Neodiprion lecontei: one gene and its partner. The protein of the gene in region 1 purifies or fractionates together with the protein of each later gene. This does not show direct contact. Links are inferred from orthologs where the notes say so. Each region holds a gene or a part of one and is shown on either strand. Other genes may lie near its edges.

Region 1 (3,600 bases):
GTTTTCTAGTTTAATCTATGCAATATTTACATTTTTTAAACATTGTCGGAACATGACTGCTGAAAATTTGCAAAAACAAATAACTACCCAAAAAAACTTCTATTCTGTATGAATTTAACACCTTTTAATAATCACTAAACATGGATAGAAAAACTTGTTTGCAATGATTACAAAATAACGAAATAGAATACTCTGATATTTTTTGGCAAGATATAAATATAACTACACATCATACCATGGGTAGCGTCCGGTGTTGGACAACTGTACAAAGTCTTAGTAAATGCAACATTTAAAATTCTTTTTTGTAATACCTGTACCAAAAGCGCTCTTCTATGCACCATCCACAGGTACTTGAAGGAGTCTTTTAGGCACCAGTGCCAGAAAACTTTCTCAAACCGCTAGCGGCCAATAGAGTTGCAGGCAAGTGTTCTTGTACCGCTAGCAGATTAAAAAAAAAATTGTCTCGTGCCCAGGTTTAAAAGACTTCTTCAATGCGGGTGGACGGTGCATAAAAAAATAAAACCAGAATTTTCGTTGCAGATGTAATAAAAAAGTAGCATGGGATACACGATCAAAAGGTGGCGATGTTGAGCTCGTGCTATGCCTTTGCACTCGCTGTGCGGTATTGCTACCTTTACATTCTTGTATCAAAAAATACTGCTAGATTTCCTATGCTTTATCTGAATTTTTCAAGTTTCGACATCAAATCAACAGGTTTCAATAAATCAAACCTGATCAAATATTATGAACAATTCTTCCAACTAATTCTTTAGCCTCATAGTGACATTATTGTAAATCACATTATAATGTTGAGTAAGAGAATAAACACAATAAAACTTTATTTAGACGTTTTTTAAACAGTATGAAAATTATGATCTATAAGTGAGAATAATGTTAAAACGAAAATCCATGATTTCTTATTTAATGCGTTTTACTTGAATTTATGATTTTAAATGGCTTCGGAGTTGGCGTTTTATCATATTATTTACAGTAAACTGAACCAATACCATTGAATAAATATAGGATGCGAGATAAGTAATAAACTTTATGCAGTAATTATTCATTGCAAATTGGTTGCATACATAGTACGGAAAGCTTTAACAATTATACTGATGATGTTTATTTGAAAATCTAGGTGATTGTCAATTCAATGTAATTGTCGTTGATATAGAGAAATGGTGCTAGGGACCAGAATAAATAACACATAAGTGAAAAAGACATATACAAAAATGATATAATGTATAACTGAAATGTTTCAGCATGGTATGTATGCAAAACTACTGGACCAGAAAAAATTGAAAGTATAATGAAAAATAATGCACATGTGCAAAATATAAAATAATGTTTTCCCACGTTAAGGAATTATTTTTCATTGCTTTACATGTATTTTGTCTATGTTATAAAACATTTTTCATGTTAATTGATCTTCTCAAGAATATTATAAACGAAATATACATCCATTTCATCTTAGTTTAAATGAGTGTATGTAAGACTTTTTGGATCAGCCCTTTCCCTACTTTCTATTTTCAAATCCGCATGAGCATTTCCAATGTTTCCAATGTTTAATATAATAAACTACAAACTACAGGTTTGAATGCAAATTTGTAATTCTCTCAATTCGAAAAAATATATATATTTCCAGCTTTTCCTAACTTTTCATGTGGCAAATAGAATTCTATGGGGTTCTAATGCTCAGTTCTCTCTAGCAACTAGACGCCAAGGACTAGTAACGAGTATATTTATCACAGTTAGCGAGCAAAGGGTTTTAAACGTGTAATTTCATTTCGATATAATGACTTTGAAATTTTTAAAGGTTTCCTCACTATTACAACATTCCCAGACCATATGACTATGATCATGTTTCGTTGGGTGAGGCTGCATCTTCGGAAACTCGATTAAAGATTGTTCAGTATCTATAAACATGAAGCAATTGCTTTGTCTAAAGTGGATGTAATGTATGAATTTCTATAGGGTACTTGTGGCATTGGGTTACATTAAAATAATTCAGTAGTTTACTTCATGTTTCAAATCAGCTGATAACCTCATCCATTCAAACAGAAGATGCGAACAATGAAAAATGAGCAAATAGAATTCATAATGGCTCGAACTCAGTGCTATTATCAAATCGCTCAAAGTTGGCATAAAAATGTACGTATGCTCAAAAATATTATCTTATACTGTTATATTGCAGTAAAAAATTACCGGCCTCTACAAATAACTAGTCGAAGAGGGACTCGAACGTTGCGCTCGACTTTGTGCAAAAGTAGATGCTGTGTATGTTCTGAAATATTTGAGAGATGCGTAGAATCGCGATTGCCTAGGAGCTGCGAAATTATAATCTTGCAAATCCGCGGTGTATGTAATACAGGAATAAATTTATTACGCGAGCTGTGAATGCGATTCGGAATGTGAAGCGCGTAAGCTAGTAAAAATACAAGTCTTTCACAAGGGATTTGGGATGTATCAATAACAACTTTAAATTGCTTAAGTGCGTAGAGATAGAAGAAATAATGTTTGATTATGGCTTAAAGTATCGCTCAGCACGCTCACCTCCGTCTTTGTCTCCCATTTGTGTTTGGTTTGAAATAGATATTCTGTACAACCAGCTAGTTTTAGGCTACCTCCAAACACTGCGCCCGCCAAAAAGACGCGAATGCTCCGAAACCGGGAACCGTCAAAGGCCTCAGCCATACATCGTTGAGGACATAGATGATGTACTCACTATAAATTAGAAGCACCTCTAGAGTGTTAGATAAAACGACAAATTTCATAGTGTTTTCTGGTGGCTGCTGTGACGTTGAACAACACTCCACGAAATTTCTTGAATGCTATACACTAGAAACTATCGTATAGGGGCTCTATTCTCGAGTTAAAGACCCTAGATATCGTATGCGAGATGTATGAGGGCAGCCCCCTGACACTCACCACTGCTCGTATACTAAAAAATTGTACGCGTCTTGTCCCCGTTTTTTAATTCCTCTACGTGGCGCTAGTAGACTCCAGGTAGACTTCCGACACGCTTGCTGCCCTCGCTGACCGCGCGCAAGCTCGTCAGGTAACTACTGGCGCCACTAGTGGTGGAACTTGGCGGCAGAATCGAGGGACATTTGGCGAACCACTTTTAGCAGCATGTGTCAGGGGGCTGTCTGAGGGTGTATTCCGACCTCCGTGAAGTTGGCCCCCCGAAGTTGTTATTTTTAAATCTAATTAATGCAATTCGTTTGAGAATCGTTTGAGAGGGTTTGAGAGTATAGAAAAATCGTTTGAGAGTTAATAGTTTTTCCGGAAAATTGATTTTAATTTTGGGTGTGAAGTTGGTGCATTAATTAGATTTAAAGATAATAACTCCGGGGGGCCAACTTCACGGAGGTATATCAATTAAAATATTAACTATCTAACAGTTTTTTTCTACTCTCAAATCCTCTCAAACGATTCTCAAACGATTAAAAAAAAAATTAAACGTCTAAGTCTATTTTTTGAGGAGATAGAAAATATGGGGGCCAACTTCACACCCAAAATTAGGATCAGGTTTCCGAAAAAACTATTAACTCTCAAACGATTTTTCTTTACTCTCAAACCCTCTCAAACGATTCTCAAACG
Region 2 (6,393 bases), on another chromosome or scaffold:
CCCGCGTCGTCGTCGAGACCTTCAATCTGCCCATAGGAATCCTTTTGCTTTCCAGCAATCAGTTTGACAAAAGCTCCTTTTATAAGTTTCAGTTCTTCTTCTTCCTTTGTTCTTGGTTTACTGTTTTGTTTCTGCATTGTTACTTTATCTGCACCAAGTCCCATTCCTTTTGGCCTCAGGGCAGGTATAGATGCTTCGACTAATCTAAAAAAAAGATGCAATGTTTACTTTGTTATGTGAACTAATCATTTCGCATTCAATATGTTATTATATTAGTAACTGGGAAAAGTAGGTTTGACTCCAATGTAGTGTTATTTGTAAATATTCGTACTTCTCATTTTTACCAATTCCTTTACCAGGTTTCCACCCCATGCCACGTAGCATAGCCATTCCATAAGCGTCAATTGGAATGTTCTCATAGTCCTCCAAGGTTGACTGAAATAACAAATTAGCTCTATGAAGGATATTTAGTTCTATTTTTTGTATCCAGAAGTGACCAAAACCATGGATTGGTAATTTTTTTTTGGTAATTTTCAGTGGAACCTAAGGTCTCTGACTTGAAAGAACTCATTTTATCCGTACAGTAGAAGTTTGATAACTTTGCAATAGAATAGATCAAGTTCAACATCGAACCTAATAGCTTTTGTACGAAAATGTTCATGAAAAACTTGATCACGCAACTACAGGTATGAGTAATATTAAAAAATTTAACTCTAAAATGGTGACTGGAAAAAAAGGACAATTGTTATAAATTTAATTAAAACTTGTAGTCGACATATAATATTACAAATGATACATATTGCTGATAAGAATCTCGATGCAGAGTTGGCAAGGTGCGCTGTTAATAAGAAGTAATGTTTAGGAAAGTAAAACCTTTTTATCGTGAAGAATTTGTCATTTGTAGCACCAAGTCTTCTGTAAACCAGTTTTCATAAATGTGACCAGTCAAAAATGCACTGCCATGACGTTTATAACAACCCAGAAATGCGCTTTTTGAAATATTTCTGATTGACCTAGCCTCAACAAATTTTCCAACGACGTTTAACAGAAGTTTGAATGTCCATCTGCAAAGTCGTATATTGTCGACTGTTTACTGGTAAAGTACTCACAGTAGAGGGGATATGTTGTTTGCATGCATGGATATATGCATGGCAAGAAAGATAATTAGGCGGTGATTCAGGAAGTAGCTAGTTATCGAGCTCCTACTATAAATATTTGAAAAGATGTGGTCATAAGGTATTCGGGAAATTATCAAGAAGGAAATATCACCAGAAAAATTTAGACAGACTTTCAAATATTCCTATTCCATTACTTTTGCAGTGTACTGATTTGATCTCATTTTTCCAAATTCATTGCGTTTCATAAATATTAAAAGAATCGTCAACGGTCATTAGAATATTTCTGATTTGTTTGACAGAAAGTATAATTTTTTATACTCACTGAACCCAATAAATTAACACCGTCATTCGAAACTCCAGTAAAAATATTCGTACTTGTAATGTGTGATAAATGGTTGCTCGGCAACTGTAGGAGACCGTTATACAAGCATGTGCCATGAGCGTGAGGTACCGTTTTGTTGGCACAACCTGCTAGGCTAAGCCTCTTGTCGATTTCTGTGCACTCATGTGTGGATTCGAATTACTATAGTTCCGAGGCAGTCAGATTTACGGAAAACTCAGTATGATAAAATATAAGTTTTAAAAATGCCTCTTTGGGAGGTAGATAAATTTTACAAAGCATTTGGTGTAGAAGTGAATATTACTAAGTATAATAAATTACCTCTTGTTCACCAGCTAAGGAGGCGGCATCTTTAACAGGTAAGGAAAAAATACTTGGGTCTTTGCCGTTAGTTTCTGTGCTATGCAGATCTTGTAGGATTTCTTGCGCCGCTTGCTCTTCCAATGTGTTAGGCAGTTTGGATTCTTCAACTTTGACCTCCTGTTTTATCGTTGCAGATTCTACAGGTTTTATGTCAGCTTCGTCAGTGTCCATTGCGCCAATTGGCTCCTTTTTAACCACAATATCAACCACATCTCCATTTGAATTTGTTTTCACTTTGGGCTCAAAGATATCTGCGTCAATTTTATTAACTATTCTATCATGCCAAGTTTTTGATCCTCGCATAGGTATCACCAGCGGTTCATCTTCTTTTTTATCTTCCAAACTGCAAAAGCCAAATATTTAATTTAAGGTTATGTTTACAAATATTGGTATTCCTGTGCTGCTAAAGTGGCGGCTTACCCAATAACCTTTATCGCTTTCTCATCCAGACACTCAATATAATCAATCTTCTTTTTGTCGTTTTGCACTATATTTTTCAAAACTGGCTTTTTTATCGATTTTGAAAAGCCGAACGAAATTTTCCTCACCTCGTCGGCCATGATTGACACTTGACAAGCTGATCGTGGCTTTAGACTGGTCTACGAATCATATAAATTCGAATTGCAACCATAGGCAGTGAGCATGGACTGCTTCTCTAGACAACAAATGTGTCCCACCCAGCCCCCTGACACACGCTGCTAAAAGTGGTTCGCAAAATGTCCCTCGATTCTGCCGCCAATCTCGACCACTAGTGGCGCTAGTAGTTGTCTGGCGTACCAAAGTCAGCCTGTCAGTAATTTTATATGTATAATATATCTTCCGTCACCGCCATGATCAGGAAAGCGCTAATGAATCGAGAATCCGAATAACGCGAACGTGGTATTTTTTTCAGGCTCATAAAGCTCCATGCTCAAGCTCGTTTTGATTTGGCTTCAAAGCACTTCGAAGTGAAGTTTCGGAACACATTGCCGTACACAAAGTTCTCAAATCACAAGGCAGAAAACCTGTTGAATTCCCGCGCGATTTCTTATGTGGGAGGTAGTATCGTGTTATTTATCAAACGATTCAACAATTTGAAGTAAATATTTTCAAAGTTTAATCGGTATCTCACCTGCAACATTTCTTCAATGACATGAACATATTATCAATTTTTTTCATTCTCTATTGCTTATTCAACTTCATGTCAATTTAAGAGGTTATAGTATTGCGAGCAGTCAGTAATGATTTGCCTCGTTAGCATTTATACTTCTATAAGACCGGGGATCGTTTGACTAGCAACAATCAGAGGTGAAAAATTTACTTTAAAAATCTATTAATATTTTCGACCGGGCAACTAATTTTCTTGTCAGATTGTAAAAAATTCTTGACGTGCTCTGGATACGAATATCATTGCAGGTATTTTACAATGAAAGTTATGGAAGTCTCCGTTGAAGAAAAGGATTGCACTAACGAAATAGTTACACCTCCCAGAAAAAAAATGAAGCAAGGTAATTTTAAATACTTTCATTTAATTTTGCGATTCTATCTATTACAAGAGCCAAATTCACAATTTTAAAGTTTTGGACTCTGGTGAACAACATCTTCAAGTATTTGACATGAGCCAAAAATTTTTACAAATCATTGTATTCACAACGCAATTGATTACACAACCTAAGGTCTGTAATAAATTTCAGCAAGAGATTTGTTTAAATCCTTTGTTAATTTTCAGCTCAACTGCCATTTCAAATGGTCAGTTCATTGGGGTCGCCCAATACAATCGGAAACAAGAAGAGGAAGCTAGAATCACCATCACCGGTGGAAAGCAAAAGTCCTAGGACTGGGAAGATAGTTAAAAAACAAAATGCGTCCAAAAGGGCCAAGAGTAGTGAAGTTGAAATTATTGAAGTGGATGTTTCGGATGTGGAAAATGTTTGTGATCAAGACAATGTTAAGGCGTTAGTGGAATTTAGAGAAGAAGGTGCAGCCAAGCATGCTGAAAAAAATCCGATTGATAGTGAAAGTGATGTCAAGAAACGTAAGGATTACGGTTCGTTAAACAGGTTTTTAAAAAAAGCACAGAGCAAAGAATCAAAGGATGATCTCCAACTTTTAGCAATGAGCGATTATGAAAGCGGCAGCAGCAAAGATAGTGATGCTTCATTGAAAGTAAAATTAGACTTACAAACATCAAAGGAAGTTCTCGAGCAAAGCTCCAAGAAAATCGTAGAGCAAAGTTCGGAAGAAACTGCGGAACAAAGTTCAGAATCTAAAAATTCTACAACTCAGATCAAAGAGAATAGCGCCGTCTCGACAAACATTACAGAATCTCAGTATAATATCGAATCACTTCAAAATACTGAGCAGAACACCAGTACTGAGGAGAAGAAGCTCCTTCCTGAGGAGACGAAAAATTCAGACACTGATTCAACTTGTCATCGAAAGGATAGCATACATTCTGATAGCATTAATGCTAAGAATGACGAATCGGATTCTGATACTGGTGGTTCATCATCGGACGAAGATGTAGACGACGACCCAGATAAGTCTAGTAATGAGAATACAGAAAAGGATAAAACTTTAGAAGAAAATGACGGAAGCAAAACACCTAGAAGTGAAAAGTCGGGTGTATTCAAAAATAGAAAATTAACTCCAAAACAGATTGAAAGACGACTTCAGAGTGCTAAGAAACGCGAAGAGAAGCAGCAGTTGAAAATGGTATGTTTCTTTATATTTACTTCACCCAAAGTATCTTTTGTGACTTTTATGACAAGTAAGTAGTTATAACAGTATTATAGTTTTTAACTTGTTCACTCAGGAAAAAAAGAAAAAGCGAGAAGAGCAGCGTGAGAATCGTAGAAAACAGAAGGAGGAGAAGGAGAAACTTGAGAAAGAACAAAAGCGGAAAGAGAAAGAAATGAAGGAGTTGAAAAAGCAAATTGAAAATGAGTGAGTACTAAATACATGTATAATTTCTATCTAGAATGTCAGAACTGTAATAAAAATACCATATACCTACTCGTGTCACAAGACATTGTGGTAAAGATTATAACAATTTTTTTGTGCAAACTTTATATTAGTTTAATCAGTCTTAATTTTTGCAGGCAAAAACAGAAAGAGAAAGAGGCAAAGGAGGAGGAGCGTCGGAAGAAAGAGGAAGAGGCTGAGCGTAAAAAACAAAAGGCTGCATCTAATTTTGCAAACTTCTTTGTTCCGAAAAAGCAGGAAACAAAAGCTCTTGAAGAAGACGGTGTAGTTAAAGATCAAAACTTCATGCCATTTGAAGTCAAAGTAGATATGAAGGTAGCTCCGATAACCAGGAGGAATCTTAATAATGAAACAAAATTAACTTTCGATGGATTGTTCAACAAAGGAGTCTTGAAAAACGAATTATATCTCAATCAGCTCAAACGAAATCGCAATGATGTCGGTAGATCCGGAAGAACTTGGCCATGTGAGACCAAGGATGATGTTGTTATCATTGGTAATTAACTATTATGTATCGATAGGCTTAGGTGCATTTCAATACAAAGTACCCAATTTCAATTCTTCTCCATCGATTTTTTATTCTGAACTGTCAGTGGCAAGGAATACCTTGAGTTTTTAATTTCCCATTTCGTGTCTATCGAAATAATATTTTTCCCAGAATTTTTCCACATAGCTTCGCAAATCCACTTCCAATGGTCTCTAAAATAAGAATGAGCATTCATTTTGCAAAGTTTCAGCCAAATACTTCCTGTTGTACATTTCGGCATGGATTTATTCCAGTTGCTTGTTTTTTATTTTTTTTTTTTTTTTAATAAAATTCATTTGTGCGGTTATTTAGTACTTATTTTTGTCATTGGAAAAAAATGTTAAACGAGCATTGTCAAACCCGTGGCGTAAAAAAATGTCATACATTCGATTCATTCAATTAAACTCAATTAGAAGTGAAGTATAGAGAAACCAATTTGAAAGAAGTAGTGAAAACGTAAATAAAAGCTATAAAATAATTATCCAGGTAATCAGTAATCAAATTGAAAAAATTGTTTTCACAGTGGATGGTATATGGATTATTAAATTTCAAAGGACAATGTCTACGTCAGTTACTACAAAACTCATTTGATTTATAGTTCAGATATATAAGTAAAGATAATAAAGTAAGGGTTATCTATTTCGCACCATGCAAAGTAATCTTGATAATATGTTATACAGATGAAGAAGATAGTTCCTCTGATGCGGTGGACCAAGGGGATGCCGCAGTTGTAGAAAAGCATCATCCCAAGTTCTTTATGTTCGCCGAGAATCGTCGACCACCCTTTTGGGGAACGTGGAGGAAGAAAAGTACGCATATAAAGCCACGGAAACCGTTTGCTAAAGATCCGGTAAGTACTTACAAGTTTTGCATTTATTTATGCGTTTTTGCTTTGGCTTGGCAGACATTTAGTCGGAACGTTAAACCAGAACCGATGGTTTAACCTTTAATACAGAACGTATGTATTAAAAAATGTGGAGAAGAAACGAACAAGATTAACATTTCAATGCATTGAATTATTTCCAAAAAGTGTATTACATGTTTGTCAGTGTCAATCGTGCAACTATCGGTTTTATATTCAT

The links.
Region 2: the proteins of chromatin assembly factor 1 p55 subunit (region 1) and chromatin assembly factor 1 subunit A purify together in Drosophila melanogaster (affinity purification with western blotting; 3 studies listed by BioGRID, with this or other methods). This does not show direct contact. The link is inferred for Neodiprion lecontei from reciprocal best matches to the Drosophila melanogaster genes Caf1-55 and Caf1-180.

What each region holds. Positions count from the first base shown.
Region 1 is NC_060260.1:23,050,417-23,054,016, forward strand, and holds the start of chromatin assembly factor 1 p55 subunit, read right to left. Parts: upstream 2,690-3,600; 5' UTR 2,570-2,689; coding exon 2,551-2,569; intron 1-2,550. UniProt on the Drosophila melanogaster protein: Core histone-binding subunit that may target chromatin assembly factors, chromatin remodeling factors and histone deacetylases to their histone substrates in a manner that is regulated by nucleosomal DNA.
Region 2 is NC_060263.1:21,171,766-21,178,158, forward strand, and holds the start of chromatin assembly factor 1 subunit A, read left to right. Parts: upstream 1-2,519; 5' UTR 2,520-3,108; intron 3,109-3,216; 5' UTR 3,217-3,226; coding exon 3,227-3,308; intron 3,309-3,529; coding exon 3,530-4,515; intron 4,516-4,615; coding exon 4,616-4,746; intron 4,747-4,901; coding exon 4,902-5,281; intron 5,282-5,991; coding exon 5,992-6,161; intron 6,162-6,393. Other genes in the region: G-patch domain and KOW motifs-containing protein, read right to left, coding at 1-204, 332-435, 1,780-2,164, 2,242-2,381.